Linked DNA regions of Mus musculus: regions 1, 3, 4, 5, 6 and 7 are each reported to be linked to region 2. Evidence: microRNA targets listed by miRTarBase, many of them from high-throughput screens and not tested one by one. Region 2 holds a microRNA gene; each other region holds the end of a gene's coding sequence.
Evidence for each region. The annotated mature microRNA mmu-miR-150-5p reads UCUCCCAACCCUUGUACCAGUG and lies in region 2 at 2,539-2,560, shown strand. An mRNA with a match to its seed (bases 2 to 7 or 8) in the 3' UTR can be bound and repressed. Matches are read on the target gene's strand: a 7mer-m8 pairs with bases 2 to 8, a 7mer-A1 pairs with bases 2 to 7 and ends in A, and an 8mer does both.

Region 1 (4,164 bases), not on the chromosome of region 2:
TGTGGTTGTATAAATTTTGAATGATTAACATTTTAGTTAGCATACAAATACTGGGACTCATTACATTTATACAAATCCTGTTACTGCTCTTTTTCATATCTGCCTCCTCTCTTATTCTCAATACCTTTTGAACTTTTAAGTACTAGTGCAGGGCTGGAAGATGACTCATCAGTTGAGAGCACTTGCTGTCCTCCCCAAGTGCCGGGCAGGGGCTGATTCCTGGCAGGCTCATAGCCATCTCTGCCTCCACTTCCCGGGAATCCAATGTCTTCTTCTGGCCGTCATGGGAACTGCACACATGTAGTATACATACTACAGGCAAAACACCCATACCAGTAAAAATTTAAAAAGCTTTAGAAATAGTAACATCATTTTACAAATTCTTGGAAAGTATTTATAAATGAAAACTCAAATGCATAATGAAAACTAAGAAAAAGGATCTCTTTCAATATTAAATGACTTTATGAAGTTAATTGCTAGATTTGGACTCTTAAAATTGATATAAATATGATTTATATGTTCAGGCAACTTGGGTTTTTTAATATTAATAACTACACTTCAAAAGAATATTTGACATTAATGACAAATTGCCAACAACTTTGAATATTTTAAATGTATTTGTGATTTCAAATCATTAATGCCGTAGTGAAATGATAAACCACATATACTTGTTTATGTAATAGTAGCACGTGGACACAGCATTCATAGAGTGTCATTCACTTTTACAGATATATAAACTGTCATCACAAGAAGAGAGGATTGGGACGTTATTGGATGCTATCATTTGTAGAATGTCAACGAAGGATGTTTTATAAGATGTTTAAAATGTCAACAGAAAGCCGGGCGTGGTGATGCATGCCTTTAATCCCAGCACTTGGGAGGCAGAGGCAGGCGGATTTCTGAGTTTGAGGCCAGCCTGGTCTACAGAGTGAGTTCCAGGACAGCCAGGGCTACACGGAGAAACCCTGTCTCGAAAAACCAAAAAAAAAAAAAAATTAACTCTAAGCCAGGTGTGGTGACTCATTACAGTCCACTGCTCAGGAGGCTGAGGCAGGAGAAAGCTGCAAGTTTGAGGTCAGCTTGGGATATGCCACAAATTCCAGATCAGCCTAAAGTACTATGTCAAATCCTATCTCAATAAATAGCAATTCATTTAACTCTCTTAGCTGCTTTTTAGGTAGATATGTCTTTGTGCCCACTTTATACAAGAGGCAGCTAAAAGAGTATAGCAGTATTAACTGACTAGCCCAGGGTCATGTAACTAGTATAAAACCATGTTTGATGGTTCCTTTTCCCCCTCACTTTATCTTGTATTGGATTGTATCCATCAAGATAGGCTTGGTCAAGGGTTAGCAAAGCTCTGTGAAGAGCCAGATAAGTACTTTGCTCCTCAAAGGCCGCCTCATCTGGTTCCTGCTACAATTACTCAATATGACCTTTGCAGTCTGAAAGCAGCCACAGAGGACAGGTACAGAGTGAGTGGCCTCTGTCCAGTGAGCCTTGACTTGAACAAGCAGTGGGCAGCCCTGGAGTTGAGACTGTAGACTCCAGAGTTGGCTAGGACATAGTGACAGTCAAACCCTAAAGCTCACTGGCTTAGTACAGCAGAAGGAAACATTTTGTTATCTTGAAGGCAGAAGGGATCAGAGGGAAACCCACAGCAGGGCTTTAGAGCCCTCTGCGGGGGCTTCTCAGCCTGGGCTTCTAGGTTACTGTGCAGCTTGTCAGAAGCTCTGGGGAGGGCAGAGAAACCTAAAAGCATCCACATGGAAGTGGCAGGTATTGCTCACCTCTTTTCATTCACACAAGTTCAAAAATGGTGACCCCTTGTTCTTCCCACAAGCACAGTCAGTTCTGCCCCTCCAGTCCCCTCTAAAGCGCCAAGTCTGCAAAGCCAGGTGCTCTCATAGTGCAGTTCTGGGGTTGTTCTCTGGGTACCTTATGGTGGTTTGAATATGTTTGGCCCAGGGAGTGGCACTATTTAGAGATGAGGCCTTTTTGGAGTTGGTAAGACCTTGGCAGAAATGTGTCATTGTGGGCATGGGCTTTAAGAGACCCTCCCTCCTTCTAGCCGTGTGGGAGCCAGTTTTCTCTTAGCGGCCTTCAGATGAAGATGTAGAACTCTCAGATCCTCCTGCACCATGCCTGCCTGGACACTGCCATGCTCCTGTCTTGATGATAACAGACTGAACCTCTGAACCTGTAAGCCAGCCCGATTAAATGTTGTTCTTATAAGAGTTGCCTTGGTTATTATGTCTGTTTGCAGCAGTCAAACCCTAACTAAGACATACCCCACACCCCAAATTCCTTTCTGAGTCACACCTCTTGAATGTTCAGACAAGCCTGCTCCATGGAGGTGAGGCAGAGGATGATACAGAACAAAGAATAAGTGACTCTTGCACACTTGCCCAAGATTGTCCAAAATGAAAGAAATCTTGATGCCTCTTCTCACTATTGTGTGTGTGTGTGTGTGTGTGTGTGTGTGTGTGTGTGTGTGTGTGTGTGTTTGTGTGTGTGTGCAAGTTCTCAGTGTCCCTGCCTCATATGGACTGTTACAGGGACCCCACATTGAGTGTGCAGCTGGGATGTTAGCTCAAGGGATGCAGATTTCTAGGATGGATACTGCTGGGCTTAGTGTGGAGAAGATCTCACAGAAGCCAGAGAAGGCTGACCTTGGTGATGACAGACAGAAACATATTACGGTGACCATCAAAGCCAGCCAGGGTCAAGGAGAGCCACATGGCAAGAAAGGGTGAGGGATATAGTCCTAGTAACCAAGTCACCTGTGTTAAGAGTGGCAGAGCAAGGGGTCTCTGTGTAGTTGGAATTGGTCAGTGGCAAGGTTTGGCTTGACTGACCCCTCTGGAGTTAAGCTGTATCAGAGGTGATGCCAGAATGAAACAGGACTCCCAGTAATTCCCAAGTGTCACAAATTACTGACTTAGGGGTGCCTGGATCTCTGTGATCAGTAGTCTCTAGCCTAGGGTGGGAGAGAGCAAAATACCCCACATCTCTAATAGTATCCCATTTTACAGAGGAACTAACTGAGAAGGAGGGACAGCCTTGCATATATATATATGCACAGCACCATATCCCATCCCAGCCTTGTGTCAGAGGTTTGCAAGATGACCCAATCACGCACAAAGCACCTGAATTTCTGGAGTTCCTGAGCCTTTGAACTCGGACTAGATTCAGCCTTGCTGGGGCCAACTCCAGTGGGGGTGCTCTTTCTTGTCAGCTCTTCTTGAGGCAGCAGAGGGGGAAGGGCATCGGTGGAGGGTAAGACTTTGTCTTACAAGATATTGAGGGTTGCTGTATAATAATAAAAAGTTTACTTATCTAAGTCAAAGTTACTATGCTACTGTAGCTGACCTGCCTTCTATGATCCTCTGAAGCCAGAAACTACAGTTTCTGGCACTTAGCACATCTTCCTCAAACAGCAAAGGATTAAGCCTTTGTACTATCTCAGCAGGAGCTGCTCAGCTCTAACTTTCATCCTGCTAGCAGTCCCACTATAAAAAACCTTAATAATCACAGATATAATTTTAAGGATTCTAATAGGATCATCATTAAGACAAGTCACGTATTTGTCTATGTAGCATCACTACAAGACAGTACATCTTCATGGATCTGCAGAGATCTGCTCCAAAGGGGTGTGCTATTACTTAGTGATATATATGTTGAATAATAACATATTAGGAAAAACATACTAATAGCAGGAATCTTTCCTAAAACAAATCCCTTACAGCCTTGCTTAATAAGGGCAAACCTGTCACAGATTATATAATAATCCAAAGCAGGCCATCTCAGGACAATCACCTGCTAGATATTAGCTTGACCCATTATGGCTCCTGGCACAGCCTGAATTCCAGGAGTGCCAGCTGTAGGGTGCTTCCATCCCCATGTCCTTTTAGAAATGCAGAGCTGTATGTCAGGCCTACTTAAGGTGATGCTGGCCTGTGAGCCCACAAGAACAGCTCTACAAGACTGGGCATCATGAGTCATCTTCCCCATAGAATCAGTCCTTACTTTAGTCTCACCGATTTCCTACTCCTCTGCCATGACAAAAACTACCTCTGCTGGTTCTCTTCTCAGTTCTACACCCAGCTCTGGTCTGTGACCCTTCAGATCTTGTAAGCACAATCTATGTTTGTCTCCAAGTCT
Region 2 (4,198 bases):
AACAAACCCTGGGTTGTGCACACACACTGTCAACAGGCTCTCCCATTATCACAGCCCACCGGGAGCCAGGGTAGCACACTCACCTGCAATCCCACCACTTTGGAGGCTCTGGCAGGATAGCTATGGATTTGAGGCTAGCTTGGGCTAAACAGTGAATTCTTGGGTAGTCTCAGCAACAGAGTGAGACAGCAAGTGTCTCAAAACAAGACATAACACAAAGAACCCAAAAAGGAGGAGCAGCAATGCTGCCTGACCATTCTGCCTTCCCCACCCAAAGAAAGTTCCACACACAGCCAGACCAAGCCACAGTTAGCAGGGCCAGGCCTGCCTGCCCTGTCTGCAGTTGGTGGGCCAAAGTCTGCTGTCACTAAACCAGGACCCTGTCCTGGGTGGTGCTGATGCACATTTTTGATCCCAGCATTTGGGAGGGAGAAGCAGGAAGTTCTTTGTGAGTTTGAGGCCAGCCAGTTCTACAAAGCAAGTTCCACAACAGCCAGAGCTACACAGAACCCTGACTCCAAAACAAACACCCAAGACCCTGCTGAGAAGCCTCACCCGCCCAGAGCCAATGGCTCCTCTCTGGTCTTCTCACCAGGCATGATTCGCTACAGAATCTTCTAGAAGCATACTTAAATGACTTCATCAAGCTTGCTCTAGAAGACACAGGTCCCATAACCATACATAACCTCTGCAGCTACCTGCCAAAGGTCATTCTCCTGGGGCCATAGAGTGACCTACCTGCACAGCTAGCTGCTAGCGTGGCCACCATTTACAGATGAGGAGACTCAAGGTCTATGGCTGAGTGAGCAGTGAGGCTGGTCAGTGCTGAGCCTGTCTCAGAACACCTGGATCCTGGGGCACCTCCTCACAGTTCCCACTTCCAGGGACTGGCTGTGCAGATATATACAGCCTTTGCAGCCAACAGGCAGGATGTAAGTTTGACAGGAGACTCAAGGAGGAAGTGTGGGCTAGTGAGCTGGTTCAGTAGGTAGAGGTATTTAAGACAAAGCATCATGGTCTGTTTGACTTGTGGAACCCACATGATGGAGAGAACTGAATCCTTTGACCTCTACATGGGGGTCTGTGGCAGGCACACACACACTCACTCACATTAGTATTTTCATTTTTGGAAGAGGTTATCACTATGCAGACAGCCTGACTTCAAACTCTGAGATCTGCCTGCCTCTTGAGTTCTGGGATCAAAGACGTGTACCACTGCTGGGTGTGGTGACACACACCTTTAAACCCAGCATTTAGTGGGCACAGTTTTGAGACTAGCCTGGTCTAAAAAGCAAGTCCAGGACAGTCAGGGGTGTTACACAGAGAAACCCTGTCTTGCAAAACAAACAACCAAAAACCCCAAAGATGGGTATCACCATACCAGGCTTCGTTTGAAACAGGTCTCTTGTGCCCTTAAACTGCTGATCCTCAAGTGTCTACCTGTCAAGTGCTGGATTGCAACTGCATGCCCTTTGTGTCCCTGAGGTGCTGCGGATGGTCGCAGGACCTTGTACTTGTTAGAAAAGCCCTCCACCATGGAGCTACAACCCCAGCCCCTCGCTGTCTGATTCTAGGAAGGCACTACACCTTTGAGCCACATCCCTAGGTCTTTAGTCTAAGACAAGGTCTGTGTTGCCCAAACTAGTCTCTGACTTCTGACAATCCTCCTGCCTCAGCTCAGCCCCCCTGGCAGCTGGATTATCACCAACGTCTACATGTGATTGGAACTGGATATTAGTTACTAAGTGAAAACTGGTGCCTGAGACTAAAGGCCCAAATGGGCTGTGTGTCACCTGGAATCTCAGCACCCAGGAGCCAAGAGGTGAGGAGAGTGTGGTCAATCTGAGGCTAACCTGGTCTACACAGAGCTCCAGACCATCTAGGGACACACAGCAAGACTCTGTAAAAGTCATATAAAACCATGATGCCTGGAAGACATTTCCACCGGGAGAGGTGCCAGGCGTGGCTGGCACTGGGGTTTGACAAACCAGAGTGCAGTAGGGGAAGTGCTAGGCTCTCAGGCAGTGTTCTTCATTTGTGCAAAGGCCTAAGAAGACAACCTCCACTCTGCAGATGACTAAACTGCTGAGGGGTCGTCAGGGGTCTCTCTTCTCTCAGGTGTCCCCTCCCTCACAGACTCTGCAACTTTGAAAGGTGAAGCCCCAAGCACCCCTGAGAGGAAACAGGGGAGCTGGGCTGTTGTAAACACAGCCCCACCCGGAACGGAAGCACCTGCGGCTGGAGGGGGCCACACCTCTCAACAATTGGCTTTAGATTCCTCAGGGTCCCTGTCCCCTGTAGCTCTGGGGCTCGCCCCTCCTCTGCTTAGTGGCTCTACTCCTGGGTGGCTGGCAGGCACCCAGCTTGGGCGGTGCCCCTCCTGACCTGTCCCTGCCCCTTCCTGCTCGCTTTGATGCAGGCCCACTTCCTTTGACAGGAACCCCCTCCCTCAGCAGCCTGGTTAAATGCAGAAGGCCGTGGTGAAGCAGTGCTTTCCGCAGCATCTCTTGCAGGCAGAGGACTCTTCTCAATGCCCTGTCTCCCAACCCTTGTACCAGTGCTGTGCCTCAGACCCTGGTACAGGCCTGGGGGATAGGGACTTGGGAACCCCAGCAGCAACAACTCCAGCTTCTCCCTCCAGCCAAGGGACTTTTCCCCAGGTTTGGCCTACATACAGGGGATGCCTTGGGTCCCTTCCTAAGTGGGTGTTCCCATCACTCCAACATCCATCCTGGACAACCTGGGGCCTTCTTCTCATCTCACTGCTGAAGGGTTCCTGTCCTTGTTGGCCCTGTCCCTGGACATAAGCCAGAGGGGAGGCAGTGGCTACAGGGGTTCAAGCAGATCATGATACTCAAGTTGGAGAACTTGCCCCTTCCTAGGTGTCTTCACCTGCAAGGTGAGTATGGGAAGACCAGAGACCCAGGTGGTTCCCAGGGACACTGAAGAGCTCAGACCTAAACTAAGGTCAGAGGCTCCACCCTTACTTCCTCCTGAGAGGCAGGCAGAGCAGGGGCTGCCTGCACCAGGTAGCTGACCCTGGGTGTTCTACTTGGTTACCAAGATTTAGAGGCTCATAAATGCAGCAGATACCTCCAGCTCAGGAAAGCCCTGGCAATCTTTGCTCTGTCCCAGGACACATGAGACTCCAAGCCTGTTCTGTACGTTGGAAAATAACTTTATTTGTTCTAGGGCATTGGCCAGAGTCCCCTTAGAACTTCTGAAACTGCTTCTTGGTGCCAGCAGCCTTGGTGACCTTGAGCACATTGAATCGCACAGTCTTGCTCAGGGGCCTGCACTCTCCAACTGTGACAATGTCTCCGATCTGTACATCCCTGTGGGGTCAGACAAGGAGTCTTCAGGAGGGGCCTCCCCAGCAATTCCTTCATCCAGACAGGCCAAAGGGGTGGGGGCCACCCTTGCTCCACCCAACCAGTCACCATCTACGCAGTTGCTAAGACTAACAAACTACAACTTCTAGTTCCCAGACGTTCACACAGCAGTCTACACACTCCTGGACCCCACACTGCTCTGCCCATGGGACACCTCCAGCCTAGCCAGTGACTGTCTTGTCTAGAGTCATTATCCCAAGCTACCAGAGTCACCTGAAACAGGGGGACAGGTGCACAGACATGTTCTTGTGACGCTTCTCAAAGCGATTGTACTTTCGGATGTAATGGAGATAGTCCCGGCGGATGACAATGGTCCTCTGCATCTTCATCTTCGTCACGACACCTGGGAGAGTAACAGAAAGGTGTTAGCAGGTAGGAGTCAGTTGAACGGGGCTCCCAAGAAGCTCCATTTATGGCATCAGCTTTGTCAACTGGCTGTCTCAGCAGTGCCCTAGAGGACATCTGAAGACCATCGTGAGAACAGACATCACTTGCCAGCGCCCCTGGACGCAGGAACCTAGAACCACCCTTCCAACATCCCACTCACCAGACAGGATCCGACCTCGGATGGAGACGTTACCAGTGAAGGGGCATTTCTTGTCTATGTAGGTACCCTCAATAGCCTGCAAAGTTAAGAAAGTGGGGTTTAGATTACCACTTCCTAAACAGAACCAAGGATGACGCCTCAGGGCCCATACTACAATTCCCAGGGGCCCATGGGAAGCCACTGTGAAGGGGGCGGGGTGGCTGTGCTCCCACACGTGCAGGGCAGCAGGGATCTCATCTGCTGGAGGGTCCTGTACCTC
Region 3 (4,164 bases), not on the chromosome of region 2:
GATACCATGAATGTATTACTGATACCTAAAAATAATCATCTTTTAAACACATTTCAATTGATGATTTCTGCATGAACAAAAACATTTTAATGCAGAAATCATTTCTCTAATACTGCAATGGATGCTAGCTGAAAGCTTGATTTTATCGCACATATTTGGTTTAGGTTTATATGACCAGATGTCATGCAGAAAAATAAGCTGAGTATAAAGTTCATGAAAGTAGGCAGGATGTTATTTTGTACTATAAAAATTTGATGTGCGGTGACATTTCACAGCTACATTTCACGAAGACATTTCATATCTTCAGGATATCTTATTCAAGTATTACATAAAAATCACTAATTAATCACACATGCAAGCTAAGAACTATGGTAAAATAGCTCTGTTGATATATGATCATCCCCTTGACCACCTACATAAGCAGTCTTCATATTATTTTTTAAAACATTAAACAACAAATCTTAAATACAGATGTATATTTGTTTATGTCACAAGCATTCACATAATTGGCACATCATCAGAATTTTATTATTTTAAATATGGGAAAGTCAGGGGAGAACTGGGGCTAGAGGTACCCTGTAAACCAGTTTCTAGATAAAAACTTCTCTCTTTTACCTTTCAAATTCACGGTGCCAAAGCACTGACTAGTTGTGCGGATCTGTAAACATTCTTGTTTGTTTGCACGGTTTCCTGAGGTAATCTGTTAGTACAGTGGCCTCACAATTTAAAATTTCTACAAATGTGCTTTGGAAAACTTCAAAGTAAGAACAAAAATTTAAGTGTAGATCTGGGTGATTTTTCTATATTACATAAGCTTGATAAGAAATTCCTAGATATCAAATCAAACCATTTTCCTACATTTTCAGGTGACAAGAAAAACACTCAAACTTTAGGTCATTAAAAAAAAATACATTCCAGAATCTCCTCAGAACTAGGTAATAAATGAACATTTTATTTGTACATCACTACTAGAATAATGTATAAAATCATATAGATTTTAGGGTGTTTTTTTTTTCCCCAAGGTTTTTCAGGCAAGGTTTCTCTGTGTTGTCTTGGCTTTCCTGGAACCTGCTCTGTGGACCAGGGTGTCCTTGAACTCAAATCCACCTGCCTCTGCCTCCCAAGTGCTGAATCTAAAGGCATGGGCCACCATCACTCAGCAGGTTTTTCTGTTTTAAAGGCTCATAAAATACTATCATATGCCCGGTATTGGAACCTGCTTAGATTGTACATGTCTTAATAGTATCTTTTCCAGGAGAGAGGGGGGAAAAAGGCTGACCGCTTGCATTTGTTTGGGGGTGTGGGTGCAACTGCTATGACAGGCTAGCTTGAACAAATAAATTATTTTTCTCATTCATTGCTCTGGTGCTAGACTCTTCCGTGTCAATAGATTAATAACACTGAATGTCTGATGAAACAGAAGACACTGGAAAGTTCTTTTTAGAGGACACAACTGGGCTCTACAGATAAAATATATTTCTTCACCTTCAATTAAAAAAATTCAAATACCATTGAAAATTTCTCCACAATCTTAAAATGTCTCCATTAGACAATCAGTTTCACCCAGCCACATATCAAGAGGCAACACTGGGGACTTTATGTTACACATGTTAAGAAGGTTCCATCCTGGCTAAAGGTCTGGACAGTTTACAGCCTCTCTCCCTCACATTTGCCCATAGAATCAAACACAGGCACTGATGACTAAGACATTGAACCTGTTCCCTTACATCTTGATTCAATACTATGTATCAGTGAGCCACTTCATTGATTATTGAAAATCTTGGTAGTAATATTTTTCATGCTAAGTTTTCACAGTTCAATCCTTTGAATGCTAGAAGAAACTATTCTGTGTTACTGCTTATTTAAGGGGAACAGAAGTGGCAAGTCTGTGTCCCATGAAAGTAGCCAAGCCCACCTGAATATTTTCTTTGTTTTGCTAGGGATGGAACCAGGCAAGTGCTTTGCCATTGAACTACAACCCTAACTATCCACCTGAAGTTTTAAATAAATGCTTATGAAGACAAAACTATGCTTAACATGTATTAATGTATAGAAGTAAAAAAGTATTATATATTCATTGTTGGTTATAAGAATATGATCTCTACCATTTATAAATATAATTTGGTGGTTTACAGTTCAAAGATATCCTTAAACTTTAAAGTATTCTATATTCCTATATAGACTATAACTTCTATTTACCAGTTTTATGTGTTGTAAATTATCTTTCAAAGACTGCAAATGATTAGTTTATGAAATGTTTCAATACCTTCAAATATTCAAAGCAATAAGCGAATCAATTCATTACTTGTAAACTCACACTACCAAAATTACAATGGCTCCTTTTTATACTACTGACTCACATAAAATATGAAAAATTAATTATGTTACATTAGGCACTAGTTCAGACTGTTCTAGAAACTTTTCCTATAGACTAACACACACACCACTGCAGAGCCCTGAGATGATTTAAAGTGGGGTGGTGCAAGGATGTATGATTTTCCTTTCATAGTTATAAACTCACATCAATGTTTACTAGAAAAATAACTAGCACATAAAAATGTGAAGTATGATTCAAAACAGCCAAGCTTAAAAAAGGCTTCAACAAAAAGTAAGCAAATTGTAGCATAAGATATATTGGATCCACTCAGGAAGGTTGTATTACATTAGGAAATAGTATACTAAAGATCCAATTTAGCATCATCTTTGAATGCATGTAAGGATGAGTCATATCATAGAGGGGGTTGCTTTACTATCAACTCTGTGTGTGTGTGTGTAGGGGCAATTTCCATGGACATGAAAATTAACATAAAACATGTTTTTACATTTAAAAATATAGATTTGAGCCAGGCAGTGGTGGCGCACGCCTTTAATGCCAGCACTTGGGAGGCAGAGGTAGGTGGATTTCTGAGTTCGAGGCCAGCCTGGTCTACAAAGTGATACAAAGTGAGTTCCAGGACAGCCAGGGCTACACAGAGAAACCCTGTCTCACAAAAGCAAAAAAAAAGAAAAAAAAAGAATATAGATTTGAAAGCATTAATTAACTTTTTGTTTAATATTTCAAGACAAGGTTTTATTGAATAGCCCTAGTTGGCCTCAAACAGAGATCTGTCTGCCTCTGCCTCCCAAGTGCTGGAATTAAAGGCATGCACAACTGCCTGTCAAATTAATTAATTTTTTTTTAAAGGATTCACCACATGTTGAAAGAGTTAAATAACGCTGGAAGGATGCACTATTCCTAAAGACTAAGAAGGCACATTACATATTATGGTTACGACTTCAGCATTAAAATAAAAATGAACTAAATAACAATGAACAGATATTATAATATTCTTTCATAAAAAAGAAGATAAGCTTGTGCACTCAGGGCTCTTGACTCTGGAACCACCTGCACATAGGTGTCGCTGACATGGACCCAGTGGCCTCCCAATTCACCATCAGGTTCTTTCAAACCTAGCAGAACAGAAAGTACAATTTTACAGTTAGTGTGTTTATGTCTTCTAAATTGTAAACACTGACACAGTTATTATGAGCTGTATTTAATTCTAAGATCTATAAGATCTAAGATTGATAACTACTTCCAGTTAATAAATTTTTAACTTAAAAATCTAGTGAAATATTAGCCTTATAATAATTAGTTTCCCAGAGAAATATTCATTTTCACCAAAAAAGAAGGTGGAGAAACTGGTGAGATGGTGCAGGGAGGAAAGGGGCTTGCTGTGCTAGCCTGGGCAGCAGCTCCATCCCCAGAGCCCACACAGAGGTGGAAGGAGAGAACTGAGTACATGAGATTGTTCTCTGACAGCCAAACATAGGCACACATACATACAACACACACACAAATAATAAATATATGTTAAAAGCTAATAACAGAGATGGACATGGTGGTACACACCTTTAATCCTAACATAAGGGAGGTAAAAGCAGGTAGTTTTTGTGATTTTTTGGCCAGCCTAATCTATATAGTAAGTTTCAAGTTAGACAGAGCTACATAGTGAGCTCCTATGTCAAAATAAAACAACAACCTAACAACACCACAACTAATAAAGGGGAGGTAAAAGAGATGGCTCATCAGTTAAGACCACATACTGTTCTTTTTTTTTTTTTTTTCCTGGCTCAACGATGGCTTTATTTAAATTAAAAATTTCTTTTTTTTTCTTTTTTTTT
Region 4 (4,198 bases), not on the chromosome of region 2:
GTTTCGCATTGTCTACGCACAGAAGGTGCGCGGGGCGAGGCGCGGGGAGCTGGGCGCGGTGGGGGCAGGGCCTGGGGCTGGGACTCCAGCTGGGACCCCTTTGGGCGTCCGGGCTGAGCCGGCGCCCCGCAGGGATACCTGGAGGAGCTGGTGCGGCTGCGCGAGTCGCAGCTGAAGGACTTGGAGGCGGAGAACCGGCGGCTGCAGCTGCAGCTGGAGGAGGCCGCGGCACAAAATCAGCGTGAGAAGCGGGAGCTGGAAGGCGTGATCCTGGAGCTGCAGGAGCAGCTGTGAGCCCGCCTCCCGCCCTGACCCCTGGGAACCCCAACATGACTCCATTGGCTGGGATCGCTTTTCTGATGACACCCAATTCGCATCAGCCTACCCATCCCATCCCCTTTCCCAAGATCCCGTGGAGGTTGCCAAACATTACCTGCCCCCCACATTAAGATCCCCCGCAGCTTCCAATACCCATCAGCTAGAGACACCAGCCATTCCTCACACGACTTTAGCAGCCTTCAGTTTTATCGTGTGCCACCCCCATTATTAAGGCCTCTGATAGGCATCACACACACACCCCCACCCCCAATCTGGAACATTTCCTCCCTGAACCTGACCCAGCTAGCTAACACGAATCCCACCCCTTCAAGAGTACCCACCCTTTCCATTCTCCTCCCTACATCACCCCAACTGACTTCTAAAAACTCCATCATGAGTGCACTAATCCTGGCCACCACAAACATGGCCTTAGATCCTAGTGCCATAATTCCAGACTTGGGCCATCCTCCCTGAGCAGCACAGATCCCCATTTTTACCACTCAAGTTTCCGTCCTAAGCCCTGCCCCTACCTTTGCTGAGTCTCGCTTCCCTCTCCCAGCCAGGCCTGATCCCCCTCCCCCTCCCAGGACAGGTCTGATCCCCGGTGACCATGCCCCCCTGGCCCAGGGTTCCAAGGAGCTCACCACATCCCTAGTCAACCAGTGGCCCTCCCTGAGCACACTTCATAGGCCCGAGGGTGCCAGCAACTCCAAGCTATATCGGAGGTAAGCCTCAACCAAGTGCTGTCCCCATACCCCAGTCCCAGGAAGTGGGGCCTGGAGCTGCGGGTCACTCCCTGCACTTTTCTGTTCTGCTGTAGACACAGCTTCATGAGCACGGAGCCGCTGTCTGCAGAGGCCAGCCTGAGCTCAGACTCCCAGCGCCTGGGAGAGGCCAAGAGGGACGAGGAACCCTGGGGCCCCATCGGTGAGCACACCCCACACACACTCACCCACCTTGGCACTTCAGAAAAGGGATAGGGCCCCTGTAGTCAGGCCGTGGCTGAACCCCTTATTCTCTCAACTCTTCCTGTACTTATACACCAATAAGGAGCTTGGCTTGAGGTTTCAAAACAAAAGTGCAAATTCGGGCCCCACCTCTTCTACCTGTAAACGAGGTCAATCTCTGCACTTGGCTGACTCAGATTCCCATCTGTAAAATAGGGATGTTGGTAAAGAGCCTCCAGAGTGCACGTATGGAGAGGGCGCAACGGCTTTCTAGTGTCATGACACTAGACACATGTTGCTGGCTCTGCCCACACACACACTGTGAACGGCTTGCCTGACCAATGTTTTCCCCTTTCTTTGGCTGCCAGGAAGCTCAGAACCAAATTAGTGGCTCCCTCTGAGCGAATGCCCAGGACTTCAACGCATGCATTTTGTGTTGACCCCTCCTTGGTTACTCCCTTCCTAGTTTCTTCCCCTATGCCTGGACCTCCTGCCTTTTTTTTTTTTAAATACATAGATATATATTATATTGTATTGGATAACTCGACTTTGAGACGAGGCAGGCTTTGGACATGTAACTCACCACACTGTGTTTGTGACTGTGTGTGTCTCCCCACCAGACTGTGAGCTCCGTGAGGGCAGGGACCATGTCTTGTCCATTCTCTGTATCCCCAGAGTGTGAAATAGAGCAAATGCTCACTGTGTGCTTAATAAATGGACAAAGAAAGGCTGAACCTTGGGGAGACAGAGACATAAACTGATGGTTTATGACACAGTGTCTCAAGCCCTGTGCAAGGAATGTTCAATCAAGGTTTAATTAAAAATGACAGATGCTCCAGAAGAGGCCACGTCCCCTGGGGGTGACTGGAGAACTGCCCCCCTTCTGCCCACCCACGAGGACCTCCTCCCCACATACAACACAGGCTGGTTGGCCCGGCCTTACCCGCCCTCTCTCCCTAGGGAAGGACCCCACGCCCTCCATGCTGGGCCTCTGCGGCTCCCTGGCCTCCATCCCCAGCTGCAAGTCCCTGGCAAGCTTCAAATCCAACGAATGCCTGGTGAGCGACAGCCCTGAGGGCAGCCCGGCGCTCAGCCCCAGCTGAGGAGCACCAAGGGCAACACCAGCCCCACCTGCCAGGGGCCATGGACAACTGCCACCTTATGAGTCCCCCAACCCAGGCCACCCTTCAAGAACACCACCAACCTAGCCTCGGGTCTCTAGGGAAAGATGACCCAAGCCTCTTTCCTGCTTCAGCTTCCTGCCAAGGAGGCAGGAGCTGCATGGGAAGTGGTGGGGCCACGAGGGACACCCAGATTACAGATCCTCAGTCCCCTGGGGACAGCGCTCCATTCTGGTGGCTCTGAAGGCTGCCTGGTTCCTTCTGATTTCTTCCACACCTGCCTCAGGAGCAGGTGGTCCAGCCCTGGCATTCCTGCTGCCCTGCCTCTGGTCTAACCCTGTGTACCCTCTGAAGTCACCCTTCCTTGGTACCTATGTGGGGAGAGATTAGGCAAATAAAAACCAGAGGACTGAAGTGGTTTCATCTGTTGGAGAGTGGGGTAAGGGCTCCCTAACAGGTCTGTTAACCAAGGTACACATGCCAGGAGGATGTGCCCTGGGGGACCACATGGGGCCATCATTCAGGGTGTGGGCTGAGTGGGAGGGGGCTCCGGATTCTGTACATCTGCAGGTGCTTTCTGGATCTGACCCTTCTAAGACTTGCTCTCACCCCAACACAGTGGGCCCCACATGAAAGGCCCTTACTACCTACCAGACAGGCACCTTTCACCCAGATCTGTCTGGGTACCCCCTAAGGTGGGAAGCTTTTAAGACAAGGTCTCTGGATGGCCTGGAGCTCAGTATGTAGGCCAGGCAGGCTTCAGATCTGCTCGCCATGAACTCTCGGGGCCACCATACCTGTAGATGCCAGCTTTTTGTTGCTGTTGGTTTTTTTTTTTTTTGTGAAGATAGAATTTGGCTGTGTAGTCCTGGCTGGCTTGGTATTGGAGGCACTCCTCCTGCCTCAGCCTCCCAAGTGAAGGAATAACAGGTGTGGGCCACTGTGTCTGACTGGGGACCCCCAAACGTGCACACGTACCCCAAGACACTACAGCCACAGCTGTGCACAGAAGACCATCATCTTTAGACAAGGAATGAATGGGGCCAAGATACTGCCTGGCCCAAGCTCCTCGGGCCAAGCTATAACAAACATGGGGATACAAAAAAGGGCGATCATCAGATTTGGTCTTGAATTCGGGAGGCGGGAGAGGGGCAATCCTGGGAAGGGAAACAGCAGGAATCCAGGTCTGAGGACAGCCTGGGTGACTGGACTGGGAGGGAAGGCACTTGGCTCAGTCTCCTGATCCCACCCGTGCAAGAGCCGGTTGCTCCCCGACTTTCAGCGGCCCAGAGGCTGCTCCTGGTTGAGCCTCTGGAAGAAGCTTTTGCCAAACTCGTAAGTGCTGATCATGATGGCACAGGAGGGTGCAGCCTTGATGATCCTGGGGAGGAAGCCTGTGATGGAAAGACAGACCACAGTGAGGGGTCCAGGTCCCCTCACACACACAGCATGGATATGTATCATATATGCAGTGCATTCACAGAGACAGACCTGCAAAGAGTCCCCTGGTGCCAGATTCAGCCCGGATTCTGCGAAGCAGGAGCCAGGTGGAGTCCACTCTGGGCGGCTTCACTGCAGATGCAAGGCCCGGCTCAGTAGGGCTCAGCTCAGGCCCCTGCCTGCCCTCTCCCCTCACCAGCCCAGCTTACCTCTCACAGCCTCCACCGCTCCCAGTGACATCTGTCGCTGTGTCTTCACCACATCGAAGGGTAGGGTAAGGGTGGCAGCCACCTGGTCAGGTGAGGACAGGGCTCAGCTCCATTCCCAAGCCCTGAGAGGGACTAACGCATCTCAAGGGCGGCTGAGGAAAGC
Region 5 (4,198 bases), not on the chromosome of region 2:
ACAGAGAGGTAAATAATTTTGACCTAGTTTTAACTGTGATATGACAAGCATCATCATCACCACCAACACCATCAAGTTTCACCATCACTGAATGATTCCGCCCTGGCCTCTCTCTAAGTGCATCATCCTGGTATGACAGGATGACCAGAGACATTCCATTTACAACCCCCCACCCCCGCCCCAAGGTCTCAAAGCTGGTAATACTCAAAACTGGAAATCAAACAAGAAGTTTAGATTCAGGACTGGGGACACAATGCATACGTATGCCTAGCATGACTCTCAGCCCCACAAAGATCAATTGATGACTCTCTTGATTGATTAACCTTGCTGTATCATATAGTCTCTCTATTGGAGCAGGACCGTGCTGACACAACGATGGAGCCAGTCAGTGTTGATTAGTCTCCCCAAAGAATACAGTTTGTCTTCCTAGGCCCAGATGATAAGTTCTTATGGAACTGGGTCTGCCAGCAGGGGAAATGAATAGAAGATGAGAATGGGTGTTGCCAACACACTGGCCTGGACTCTCCATCCCATTCTGCTTCTGCACATCCCCACCTTCTACTAAGAGACAAAGAGCAGTGAATTTCGTTTGTCCAATAATCTTGAAAGCATTATTTGAAGAGAAATATAATGTTTAATTTTAGGCATGGAAAGATCAAATAAATTATATAATACCAAAGGATGGAATTTGTTCCACCACGGAAAAAGCAGCACAGGGTAGAACAATTATAGCATATTCAAGTGCTAAACAACTTTCAAGCAGATATATTGTTTGAAGATACTTTATTAAAATAAAAAACTTTCCATTACATTTATCTATAAATCCATCATAGGCCACAGGGAAATAAATGAAAATCTGAATCTTCAGGGACATTTTTGATTCCATAGTTTTGTAAATCTGAGTTTACATGTTTGCTCACTTTAAATTACTACAGTTTAGGTACACTTGATGATTATATAGTACCAGGAATGTCAGCCTTATAGATGCCAAGTTTCCACATTACTCAGTAAAGCCATGGTTATTGTTTCAAGTTTATCTCTTTACTTTTAGGCCATTCTACCTGGGAGATAGAGGAGAAAAAAAGCACCTCATACCAGGTTCAACTTTAAATGGATAAACAATGAAACCCTGCTTTTCTAATAGTGGCTGGCACTGCACCCCAGAAACAAGCTGCTGAAAGCTAGGAGCAAAGTATTTTTCTCCTTGGTGGTGGGAGTGCTGAGGTCAGAGAGCACAGCAAGGCCAAATGCTGTTGGTATCTTGGCCTGGCTTTTATGTTTAAATTAAATCTCTTTATAAGCATCAAGAAATAGAACAGGTAAGGCTACATGCCACCTGATTTCTTAAACTGCTTTATTTCTGTTTATTTATTTTTTAAAGAAAGATGCTCAGCTGTGGTCTAACAGGTGCAGACATTTATATTTTCATGACATTCCATCACCTTCACTACCTACCCCAAATTTCCCAAGCACTAACCCAAAATAAAAACTGAAGAGAGCAGTCACCAGATGAAGAAAAACAATCAGCAAAGATACCTGAGGTATGAACATGGGATACCTAAACTATTTCAGAATGTCCTATGCTGGACACACTTCTCACCATTCTTGGTCTAGAAAGTTCCTTTAGAGAAGTGTACACATCGAGCAAGGGACAGGACATTCCATCCAAACCAACTTTTTAAGACTTGTGCTTCTAGACAGTCCACACAAAGCAGTGATATCAGAGTAGAAATTCAGTAGCCTTTCTCTCTGTGTTTGAGCTGCATGGCTTTAATTAATAAGCACAGAACTTCCATGAACTGTGTTCATTAGTCCAATCATCTGACTGTTGGGCTTGAACATGTAATGAGGTCACTAGAAAAGTTTTTGTTTCTGCTTCACACAGAAATTTGACATTGTCTTAAGGAAAGCTAGCCACGGACACCACCAAACAGCAGTGAACATGTAATATGTGTGTGGACCTATCTGCCAAAAGGTCCAATATTTACATGGAATGTTGATCTTGCTTATAAAACTATATATATATATATATATATATTTGTTTATTTGTTTTTGTTTTTGTTTTTTTCGAGACAGGGTTTCTCTGTGTAGCTCTGGCTGTCCTGGAACTCATTCTGTAGACCAGGCTGGCCTCGAACTCAGAAATCCACCTGTCTCTGCCTCCCAAGTGCTGGGATTAAAGGCGTGTGCCACCACGCCCGGCCCATAAAACTATTTTAAATTATATCTTTACATACAATTTATCTTATGAATAGCCTCATTTGATAATTTAAAAACATGCCTTTCAAATATCTCACAAATATATAAAATTTCCCTACATTTTATTTTTTCTTTAAACATAATATTTAAACTCTTTACAAAGCAACAAGAATAATTTTTTGTATGCAAGTCATAGATGTGATGAATCTTCCATTGACTAATCTGTACTGCTCAGAGTACTGGCAGGAACCTGCTCTAAGATTGAACTATGGATATTTGTAGTATTGCAAATCATTCACTTGCTAGAGACCTAAGGCATTATAGAAAAAGGAACAATGTCATTGAAACATTTAAAAACCCACCTTCCTTTGGAATAGGTTGAAATGCAATCTGGCTGGTGTTAATCATTTTGTTGACAAAAATTTAACACAATATAAGGTTTCTAAAACACACTTTAGGACAATTTACATGTGTGGTGATTGCACACCAGAAACATGAGCACCTCTTCCTTCACTGTGCTCTAACACGTGTTACATGTTTTTGAATACTTATCTCATTGTTATAATTTGTTGAGAAATTCCAAAGCAAGAGAAGAAAACTTTCTGACTCCAGAAATGTCTTCTGAAGAATGATAGATTAAAGCAAGTGGTGCTGTGTAATCATTTCTTGCCCTAAGACAGAGCCATTTTTACTAAACCATGAGGAAAAGTTTGTATCTACATCTGTAGTATCAGTTAAGTCGTTTTTAAGCCTGATGCAGCGGCATGTTCCCGTACTCAGGAGGCTGAGGCAAACAAAGGCTGAGTTCAAGGCTAGTGTTGACAACATAGTGAGACTCTCATCTTAAACAGGAGAATTAGATTTTTCTTATATAATATTGGTGGCATCACTAATATGTACTCATAAGGATTTCCTAAGCTATAATATGTGAGTTACTTCCTCAAGAAAAGATTTGAGTTTCTTCTTTGTTTTAAAGATGTGCACATGAAGAACATATTTTTTAAAGGAGAGTCTTATTTCCAGCTCAGTTAAATCTGTGGATTTGCTCAAGGCTGCCAAGCCCATGCTTTCAACTGTAAGCATGCCCAGTGAAGGGCTGTGAGCACACCTGAGCCCAAGTGAGGCATGAACTTTGATACCTACTGCCTCTCACAAAGAAACAGATTAAAGAAAACCAGTAAATACAAGTTTTGCTAAGACTATAGCATTGTGCAGATTTTGACTTAGATTGTACACTTATGTGCTTCAAATAAGGCTGTGAAAGACATAAACAAACCAGCACTGAAATTTTGACTTTGACATTGAAGACTTTACATCTGTGACAGTGATACTAATTATTAAAAAAAAAATCCTACCAAAACCATGGTAGTTGATCTAACCATGCAACTCTGTAAAAAGACAATTAAGGACATTTCTCTGAGTTATGAATGTAACCAACTCACTGGGACCCAATGGGTATCAGTCTCTAGTTTGTCAAATGTTGTTTTTAGCTCATTAAATGCCACAGTAAGATCATCATTGATTATGATTTTGTCAAAAAGATGGCCATATTGACTTTCCATTATCTGTGCTGATTTAATCATTTCCTGAAAGTCTTCTTCCTATTAAAAACAAGTAATAACAAATTAAGTAACCAGACAACTGCATTATTTCACATAAATGTAAACATTCTACAATGACTACCTAAAGCTGTTATGTGTTCAAACTTTAAACAAAATAAAGAAACAAAATCACCTTCACTACCTTTTTAGAGGTTTTTACTGCTAACATCAGCTTTAGCTGAACTCCCTTCAGGGTCATAACTAACTCACGATTGCATGGACACATTGCTGTTGTCATGGATAGCAGGGGTGCTGTTTACTCTGATGCTCTGGCTTGGCTATTTATGTTTGGTCACAAGAAATAAAGTATAACACAAACTACTTCCTTAGTGTTGGAAGCATTACAGGAAAATAATTCAAATGCCCCTCCTGTGGTCCAGTAGAAGTGTTTCAAAAGC
Region 6 (4,193 bases), not on the chromosome of region 2:
CAGGCGGAAGCACTTAGGATCACCCCCAGCCTCCCTTATCTTTGGAAGTGACTTTAATCGGCAGCACTGACAGCAGTTTAGCATTCTGAAATGTTAAGAGTTGTAGTGGTTTTGCTTTAATGAGTCCGGTTTCATATTTGTGACTTTTTGACCTTGCCTTCTTCGGAAACTGGGGTTTGAGCTGTGGGTTTCCATTTCCCTTGGCATGGACCTGTCTTGAGCACAGACTTGCTTTAAAGGAGAGTCTCCTAGGTGATGTATTTGCTATTGAAGAATATTGCAAGTGGACTGAGTTAGCACCCTGCCTGGTGTTAAGAGGACATAAGAATAGCGGTTTGAATGGTCATTGGGATCCGTAGTACGTTTTACTGTTGGATCTTTTCCCTTTTAGAATTAAAAATGGGTGATGTTGAAAAAGGCAAGAAGATTTTTGTTCAGAAGTGTGCCCAGTGCCACACTGTGGAAAAGGGAGGCAAGCATAAGACTGGACCAAATCTCCACGGTCTGTTCGGGCGGAAGACAGGCCAGGCTGCTGGATTCTCTTACACAGATGCCAACAAGAACAAAGGTAACGGGGGGAGCTGCTGTCAGCCACAGCACAGGTTGCTTGGGTTAACCAGTGCAGAATTACCAGGTGTGTAAAACACTTAACCTCTGCATCTCTTTCTGTTTAGGCATCACCTGGGGAGAGGATACCCTGATGGAGTATTTGGAGAATCCCAAAAAGTACATCCCTGGAACAAAAATGATCTTCGCTGGAATTAAGAAGAAGGGAGAAAGGGCAGACCTAATAGCTTATCTTAAAAAGGCTACTAATGAGTAATTCCACTGCCTTATTTATTACAAAACAAATGTCTCATGGCTTTTAATGTACACCATAATTTAATTCACACACCAAATTCAGATCATGAATGGCTAGCAATGTTTTTGTTGGACAGTCCTGATTTAAGTAAAACTGACTTGTCATAAAGTGGGTACGGTCTTTATTAAAGCAACAGTTCCAGTTGTATACATGCTACCACGGCTCTCCCTTTCTCAAGATAAGATTGGACTTAATTAGCAATGTTTTACTTTCCATAAATAGGGGCATGTCACCTCAAACCTACTAAATGGTTTTATACTTAGATTTATATAACTGGGCATATGAATATGCTTAAACACTGGGAAAATTCTATCACTGTCTCAGAAACAAGAAGACTCAAATGTGTTTCAGTTTGTGTTCACTGGCCTCTTTCAGGTCATGGCTAACCACCAGGAGGCAACTGTCTATTCTTGACAGTGCAGTTTTAATTAGAATTCCCTACATCAAGGATGTTGCCTTTTACTATTGAAAGGCATTTACTGTGGTTTATGTATGATATCAAATAAAGAGTATTTAACACTTCTTTATAGTTGATCTGCAAATTAAAATGCTTTTAGAAACAAGCAAGTTAGGCCTTTTAAATTCTCTATTTTCTAAGACTAAGTTGTAAATCAGAATTGTCCTTAAATACCCACTCAGAAACACACATAACTGGAATTCGATTAGGAATGGCACTCTTTGCTAACTTACTAGATGGAAAGATGGAAATAAAGGAAATAGTTTGTATCAGCAGAAAGAAGATAATTAAAACAACCACAGATCGTGATCCTTTGATTGTGCTTTGTTTAATGACAGTTAACATATCTTTAGTTGTTTAAATGTTCCCTGGTATAAAGCCATGGTCTAGTGAAGGTACTAGGTGCTCTTACCTTGATATCTCGGGCAACTCCGACTACAGCCACGCTTTACCCTTCGTTCTTTGGCCAGAATGAGATCTATAAAGGTGAATAATTATGTATTAGCTGAGTGGTCCTAAATTTTATAGAGAATGGCAGGGAAATGAGTGATAGTGGTGTCTTTGTGGGGGTGAAAAGGCTGGAGAAAGACCTCATCGTGACTTCAGACGTGTAGAAGATGATTAACTGGGCCTCAGGTCAGAGGCAGCACTTTGTGACAAATCTTACTTTATACAAGAAATTGAGGACAATCTGGAAACAAGTTTGGAAAGTTTTCTGTAATTTGGAGTTTTGGGCTGATGGGTAGGAATTTTTTTTTTGTTGTTTTGGACCTATTTTGTATGTATGGGTGTTTTCTCTGCATGTATATCTGTGCACTACACTTGAAGGCCAACCCAGGGTGTTGGATTCCTTGGGACTGGTGTTACAGCGGGATCTGCAGTGGGCGCAGTCCAGGCTGAGTCCTCTGGAAGAACAGCCAGTGCTCTTGAGTCCTCTCCAGCCCTGATAAGCTTTTTACTTTGTAGGTCCTTCAGAGATAGCTTTGTAATAACACTTGATGAGTCCCAAGTTTTTGTAACAACTTTCCAGGGCACATTTTAACTAATGTGTAAAGAAATAAAGCCCTGGAATTGCCGGGTGGTGTTGGCATACACCTTTAATCCCAGCACTTGGGAGGCAGAGGCAGGTGGATTTCTGAGTTCAAGGCCAGCCTGGTCTATAGAGTGAGTTCCAGGACAGCCTGGGCTACACAGAGAAACCCTGTCTCAAAAAAACAAAAAATAAAAATAAAGCCCTGGACTTGTTTTCTTATATTCTGGAAATGATAGAAAAAAAAAGTCATAATAAGCCGTTGAGATGAATATATAGACATTTGGCTTAAGATTTTATAACATTGGGCTTTCAATATAAATTCAAAGGGGCCTCGTTAGTGCAGCAGGTTGTGTGAGTCCTATAGTTTATAAACTCAGATTCTGTAACCCAGAAGTGGTGAAGCCATGATGACTTATTTCCTGACAGGCAACCTTTTCTGGGAGCCCAAGTAAAGGGTCCCTACTGATGACCAAACTTAGAGTTGTTATTTCTGTATCTATACCTAATACATCATCTAAGGCCTGTGTTACACAGATGGAACCTCCTGTGTTCTAAGGCTAGACTCAAGTAAGATACCCAGTGATGGAGAAGGTAAACCTGTGAGATGCAGAAAGGGGACAGTCTCTGTACACTGATTTTACAAGTCAGGAAGTGGGACCACTCTAGCTGATCTGCTTGCTCTTAGTTGCTTTGTAGGTGGCTAGTTCAGTGATACCATAAAGGAAAATCAGATGAATTTCTTCTCAGTTCCACCTGCATTCAGAATGCTTAGAAAAGCTCTACCCCATAGTCCTTCCTGTAATGGATCTTTTAGACATACTTGTCCATTACCCTGGTGTGGCTTTCAAACCCATGAAGTACATGTGGGTTGATGAAGTAGCTAATGGCTGCTGTATTTATGGCATTGACCTAGAACTAGTACCAGCCAGTTTAAGCACTTGCCTTCTGAGAATCTAGAATTAATGCACATAAAATTCTGATGCCTTTCTGAACACTGATTTAGACAATCCCTTTGATTTTACCATGCTTCATCTGTTGAGTTTAAGTTGTCTTTTTTAGGTGGGCAGGGGCACCATCTGTCTTCCGTTACACTTACATATTCATTTTAACCACTGAAGATTGCTAAATAAAGGACATGTCGGAGTACACACTCGCTGTCCAGGAAAACGGTCCTTAACAGACTTTTTACAGCTACATAGTCTTAGATGACATCATGTTAGTCAAATTCAGAAGTAAGCTGAAACCAATTCATTTCTAGGGATATCTCTTCCAGCTTCCTATTGTTAAAATATTTTGAAAGCCAAAGAATAGGCCCTGGATGAGAGCTGCGTAAATCATCCAGGTGAACTCATGCTTACTAGCATGTGAGTACACCCAGAACTCCTGTTTCCTGATGAAGCGTTGAAGCATTACTGAAGTACACACTGACCCTTGGCTGCATTCGTTAGTTTAGTAAAACATCAAGTATTAAGTTTAGAATTAATAATTGGGTTCTACATTATTTTGTTTGGGAATCTACTGTGCTTGAAAAACTGTCCTAAACTCTTACTCACAGAAAACTTAGGTTTACTATATACCTGTATTCTCAGAGAATTAACACAGTGGCTCATTGGCACTCTCCTGTCTTATCAATATAGCATACAGCTTATCATTCATAAGGACGACACATGACCAATGTGTAATGGCACTGAGTTCTTAGAAGTAGGCTGACTTCAATTGTTAGAATTTTGTTTTTTGGGTTTTTTTTTTTTTTTAAGATTTATTTTTTATTTATGAGTACACTGCAGCTGTCTTCAGACACACACCAGAAGAGGGCATCAGATCCCATTACAGATGGTTGG
Region 7 (4,198 bases), not on the chromosome of region 2:
TGCAAATGTTGGTGTTTACCCTACAAGTACGCAGTGCATGGATTCACCATATAGTATGTTTTCTTAGTGTTCATTCCATACTTCAGTAAGTATTTGTTTAAGTAGGAGAGCATTTCCAGACTCAGTGCTGACCAAATGCATTCCAGGAATGTCTGACCTAGAAGGAAGTGGGAAGAAGCAGCGTTACTTTCAGTGTTAGTAAAGGCGAAACTGTTTTCATTTATCACATCGGCAGGTATCCTTTATATTTGAAACTAAACAAAAATTCAAGTCATTTTGCCCTACAACATAGCATATAAAAATATAATACTCTTTCTGGAAGGTGAATGGGGAGCTAAAACTCAAGTCTCTTGATAGTTCCTGGATAATAGAAGCACTTTCAAATAATACTCTTCACACCCGCAGTCATACGGGAATGAGAGTTCTGCTTACTCACATTCACACAGAATTACACTCATTGCCTCTACGTATCCTCAGCTTGGTAATTCTCATGCATTGCTTTGCTGCAGAGCGCCCACCAATTGGTATAGCCCAACAGTGGATCCAGAGTAAGAGGGAAGCCATTGTGAGCCAGATGACTGAAGCCTGCCTTAACCAATCGCTGGACGCCCTTCTGTCTCGTGACCTGATCATGAAGGAGGACTATGAACTCATTAGCACCAAACCTACAAGGACCTCAAAAGTCAGACAGCTGCTAGATACGTCTGACATCCAAGGAGAAGAGTTTGCCAAAGTTGTAGTGCAGAAGTTGAAAGATAACAAGCAGCTGGGGCTGCAGCCTTACCCAGAAGTACCTGTGCTTTCCAAAGCACCGCCTTCAAATTTCCCTCAGAATAAAAGCTTGTAAGGGGGCCTTCTTTGGGAGGAAGTCAGTTTACAAATGGTTATTTATATTTCTGTTACCTGTATAATATTTGTATAGAAAACATGAGAGTATTAGACGCTTCACTGAAGGTTGATGGAAGAGTCTCTTCCCATGACGTTGCAGTATTTTTTTAAATTAATATAAGTAAAAAGTTTGCTTTATGCTGTGTAGTTCAGTTTTTACGTCAGTTTCACTACTTGAACTTTTTATGTGATAATTACATTTTTCTAGTATGTAACAGTGCCTTAAAGTGGCCTTTGTTTCTGATGGAAGACACTTTCACACTCACCTTCTCTGCGGATTCCTCATTATTCGTCTAGAGTGCAGTTTGACTTTACATAGCAGTGATTCAGGCTCCCCATTTGCCAATCCCAAGTTCAGATCTCCAAAGAGTTACTCGGTTTTAAGTTTGACTTACAAATTCTTTAGCAGGTGGTCTCAAGGAATGTAGAGTATATAAAGAAGCGGGGGAGAAAAAATTAACACTGGCCAGCCGTGGACCTCTGCTTAACTTTTGCCTCCTGTCTGTCTCCAGAGCGAGCAGCCCATTGTGCATCCTGCTGCAGCCTGCTTCCGGCTCCTGTTTTAAGCATATGCGGGTTGGGTAGAAGCCGACCTTTACTTAGCTATTTTCTTTGTAAAACACCATGGTTTTTGAACTGAAGGCAGGTACACTCCTCCACACAGCTAACTCCGTTCAATCACCGCATGTCGGCCACGCCTCTCTGTGTTTGATTTTCCAAGATTGCTCTTATCAACTTGACGAGAAACAATAAAAAGGCAATACAGTGTGCATTCTTTTTATCTTCTGGTAATTAGCGTATGTCAGTAAAGGGAAACTATACAAAGTGATACCTTTTTCTGAAAACTGTTTAACAGTTAGAAGAAAGTGAGAAACAGAATGAATTTGAAAACTCAAACTTGCAAGACGCACCAGACTCATAACCTAAAACAATCTGAATTAGGACTTAGATCATATGGAGACAATGAAATATTCCTTAATTTGAAATAAGAATGTAAACAGCAGGACTGGAGAGATGTCTGAGCACAGCATTTAAGAGCTGGCTGCTCAGGGAGAGGACCAGGGTCTGCTCCTAGCACCCACATGATGCCTCACAACCAGCAATAACCCCAGTTCCAGGGAAACTAGACTCTCTTCTGGTCTCTAAGACCACCAGGCAGGTGTACAGTGCACTTACATGCAGGCAAAACAATCATTCATATATATATATGTATATATACATATATATATATATATATACATATGTATATATATGAATCTATATGGGAAGATGTTTAAAGAATTTAAATGCAATTTTAAAATGACATTAACTTTTGATGTGACTCTTATGGGACTTTCAGAAACAGAAATTTAAAAGGAAAAAAAGAAAAATCAATTAAACTTATTAGTTGTGATTAAATTCTTTTAAAAGTATGAAATAAAAATTCGGGTGTGGTGGCACACCTGTTATCCCAGAACTTTGGAAATGGAAGCATCAGATCAAGAGTTAGAAACATCCTTAGCTACTTAACAAGCTCAAAGCAAGCCTGGGCTATTGGGGACAGGTCTCCAATAGACAAACAACAAAAAGATTGAACTTGGGAATTAAAAAAAAAAAAAAAGGAAGGGTTTTTTAATTACTCTCTTTTAGTCTCTGTCTGTCTCTGTCTCTCTCTCCTTCCCTCTCCCCTTCACTCCCTCCTCTTTTCTATACTGATTGTGTATGATATATGTAGATTGATACATGAAGTTTTCTCTGCTCTTCCCTTTTGCTGCAAAGTGTACAATTCATAATGTGTGACCCACTGTCTTGGTTACATGCTTATAACCCACCCGTTGTTCTCCTGTGACTTACTGTAAGGAATACCTATGTATAGTCACCCATCGTCACAGCCCCACAACTTTCTACATGAATAGAACACACTGAACAATAAGAAGATGGTATCACCGGGCAGTTGTGGCACATGCTTTTGATCCTAATATTAGGAAGGTAGAGGCAGGCAGATCTCTTGAGTTTTAAGGTCAACCTGGTTTACAGAGTGATTTCCAGGACAGCCAGGGCTACAGAAAAACTCTGTCTTGGAACATGGTGCCCCCCCCCCCAAAATAAAGCAAATCCCTATGGTGTTAACAATTAAGATGAATCTTCAATAAGCTGTCCTCCTTTAGTGGTATTACTGGTTTCAGCGGACAATTTTCACTGTGACCTATACTGAATGTTTGCATGTCCTTGTTTTGAGGGAAGTGACACCCTGTGCTAAGTATGACCAGTCAGCACACAACAAGGCCTGGCATAGAGTGGGCACTTTCTAAATAACTCTAGTGAATAGTGAAATGAAAGCTGCAGAACAGGGCAAGATGCTCGCTTTAAGTCCTGCTTCCCAAGATGTATGCAAATACAGACAATAATAAGTAGAATTATTTTTATGTAGAACAGAGATTCAGAACATTGTATCATTTGAGCTACATAATAATAGTTTTTGTTTTGTTTTGAACCTTCTCATTAAGGAAAGGAGAAAGGCTTAATTTTGTGCAAATTGCATGCCTTCTTAATTTTGAACACTTACTGGAAGCCTCTATTGGCCACACTATGCCAAGGTTGAGCTTGGTTCCCTTGTAATCCCTATTGAGCTCCCTCCAGATAGTCAGAGAGTAAAAAAAGGAAGTCCAAAGTGCTAAAACAGGGAACTTCAAACCCTCACAGTTGGTGGCCACCAAGGTGTGGATGTGGTTTTATATTGGAGAGATTATAGACAAATGTAGTATCACTGGCTATAATGTTTAAAGACAAATTAACATCTGGTTTTATTTGGGTTCTTACTTGAATGTTCTTAAATTACATGTAATGAGACAGCTATCTGAATTAAGTAAACTAAACTAAACAATACAACCCAAGACAAGCCCAGCCTTAAACAAGTCACTTTTACCATGCTCTCTAAGGCTTTGGAAACATTTTAAAACAGGGACTAAAGAAATATGTAGGAGCTAGACTATAGGAAAAGGGATACAGAGCTTCATTCCCTAAACTGGGTATATCCATTTTAATTAGTAACACATCAACTGTAGGTCCCTGAGCTATACAAGTAGCTCTATCAACAATGAGTCAAGGAGTACAGAGTGCTCATGGGTCCTGCCTTTCCCTCTCCACTACTGGCCATCAATAAATTCTAGGAAGTGGCTGTTTTCCCCCAGTTGAGCATACTTGGCTGTGATGGACAGCTCCAAACCCACAGTCACACAAATGGCTCTGGTTAATATTGGTGAGATATTAAATAAAATAAATAGACATAAACATGAGAAAGAGTTCTATGAAGATGAGGGAAGGTGAATAG

Region 1: the mRNA of Tprkb is a reported target of mmu-miR-150-5p. Seed matches in the 3' UTR shown: 7mer-m8 at 875-881.
Region 3: miRTarBase lists Usp45 as a target of mmu-miR-150-5p. Seed matches in the 3' UTR shown: 7mer-m8 at 3,120-3,126 and 7mer-m8 at 1,118-1,124.
Region 4: miRTarBase lists Slc25a39 as a target of mmu-miR-150-5p. Seed matches in the 3' UTR shown: 7mer-m8 at 3,295-3,301.
Region 5: the mRNA of Mpp7 is a reported target of mmu-miR-150-5p. Seed matches in the 3' UTR shown: 7mer-m8 at 2,161-2,167.
Region 6: the mRNA of Cycs is a reported target of mmu-miR-150-5p. Seed matches in the 3' UTR shown: 7mer-m8 at 2,430-2,436.
Region 7: the mRNA of Ripk2 is a reported target of mmu-miR-150-5p. Seed matches in the 3' UTR shown: 7mer-m8 at 859-865.

What each region holds. Positions count from the first base shown.
Region 1 is chr6:85,928,048-85,932,211 of GRCm38, forward strand. It overlaps Tprkb (Tp53rk binding protein), which reads left to right. Exons shown (of 6, transcript NM_176842.3): 6 at 729-2,237. The coding sequence ends at 815. Among named protein-coding and RNA genes, the nearest start is that of Tprkb, 14 kb to the left of the region's middle.
Region 2 is chr7:45,119,224-45,123,421 of GRCm38, forward strand. It overlaps Mir150 (microRNA 150), which reads left to right and starts at 2,534; the gene lies at 2,534-2,598. Rps11 (ribosomal protein S11) reads right to left here. Exons shown (of 5, transcript NM_013725.4): 2 at 4,196-4,198; 3 at 3,940-4,015; 4 at 3,606-3,735; 5 at 3,165-3,335. The coding sequence ends at 3,212. Snord35b (small nucleolar RNA, C/D box 35B) reads right to left here and starts at 3,888; the gene lies at 3,802-3,888.
Region 3 is chr4:21,833,521-21,837,684 of GRCm38, reverse strand. It overlaps Usp45 (ubiquitin specific petidase 45), which reads right to left. Exons shown (of 18, transcript NM_152825.2): 18 at 1-3,450. The coding sequence ends at 3,320. Among named protein-coding and RNA genes, the nearest start is that of Pnisr, 12 kb to the left of the region's middle.
Region 4 is chr11:102,399,756-102,403,953 of GRCm38, forward strand. It overlaps Slc25a39 (solute carrier family 25, member 39), which reads right to left. Exons shown (of 12, transcript NM_026542.3): 10 at 4,036-4,117; 11 at 3,878-3,958; 12 at 3,214-3,780. The coding sequence ends at 3,665. It overlaps Rundc3a (RUN domain containing 3A), which reads left to right. Exons shown (of 11, transcript NM_016759.5): 7 at 1-25; 8 at 133-290; 9 at 906-1,043; 10 at 1,139-1,245; 11 at 2,226-2,800. The coding sequence ends at 2,368. Among named protein-coding and RNA genes, the nearest start is that of Mir6930, 3.1 kb to the right of the region's middle.
Region 5 is chr18:7,347,345-7,351,542 of GRCm38, forward strand. Mpp7 (membrane protein, palmitoylated 7 (MAGUK p55 subfamily member 7)) reads right to left here. Exons shown (of 17, transcript NM_001081287.2): 17 at 618-3,800. The coding sequence ends at 3,621. Among named protein-coding and RNA genes, the nearest start is that of Gm34979, 2.7 kb to the left of the region's middle.
Region 6 is chr6:50,561,867-50,566,059 of GRCm38, reverse strand. It overlaps Cycs (cytochrome c, somatic), which reads left to right. Exons shown (of 3, transcript NM_007808.5): 2 at 392-568; 3 at 675-3,497. The coding sequence starts at 400. The coding sequence ends at 823. Among named protein-coding and RNA genes, the nearest start is that of Cycs, 2.6 kb to the left of the region's middle.
Region 7 is chr4:16,120,203-16,124,400 of GRCm38, reverse strand. Ripk2 (receptor (TNFRSF)-interacting serine-threonine kinase 2) reads left to right here. Exons shown (of 11, transcript NM_138952.4): 11 at 510-1,660. The coding sequence ends at 847. Among named protein-coding and RNA genes, the nearest start is that of Ripk2, 41 kb to the left of the region's middle.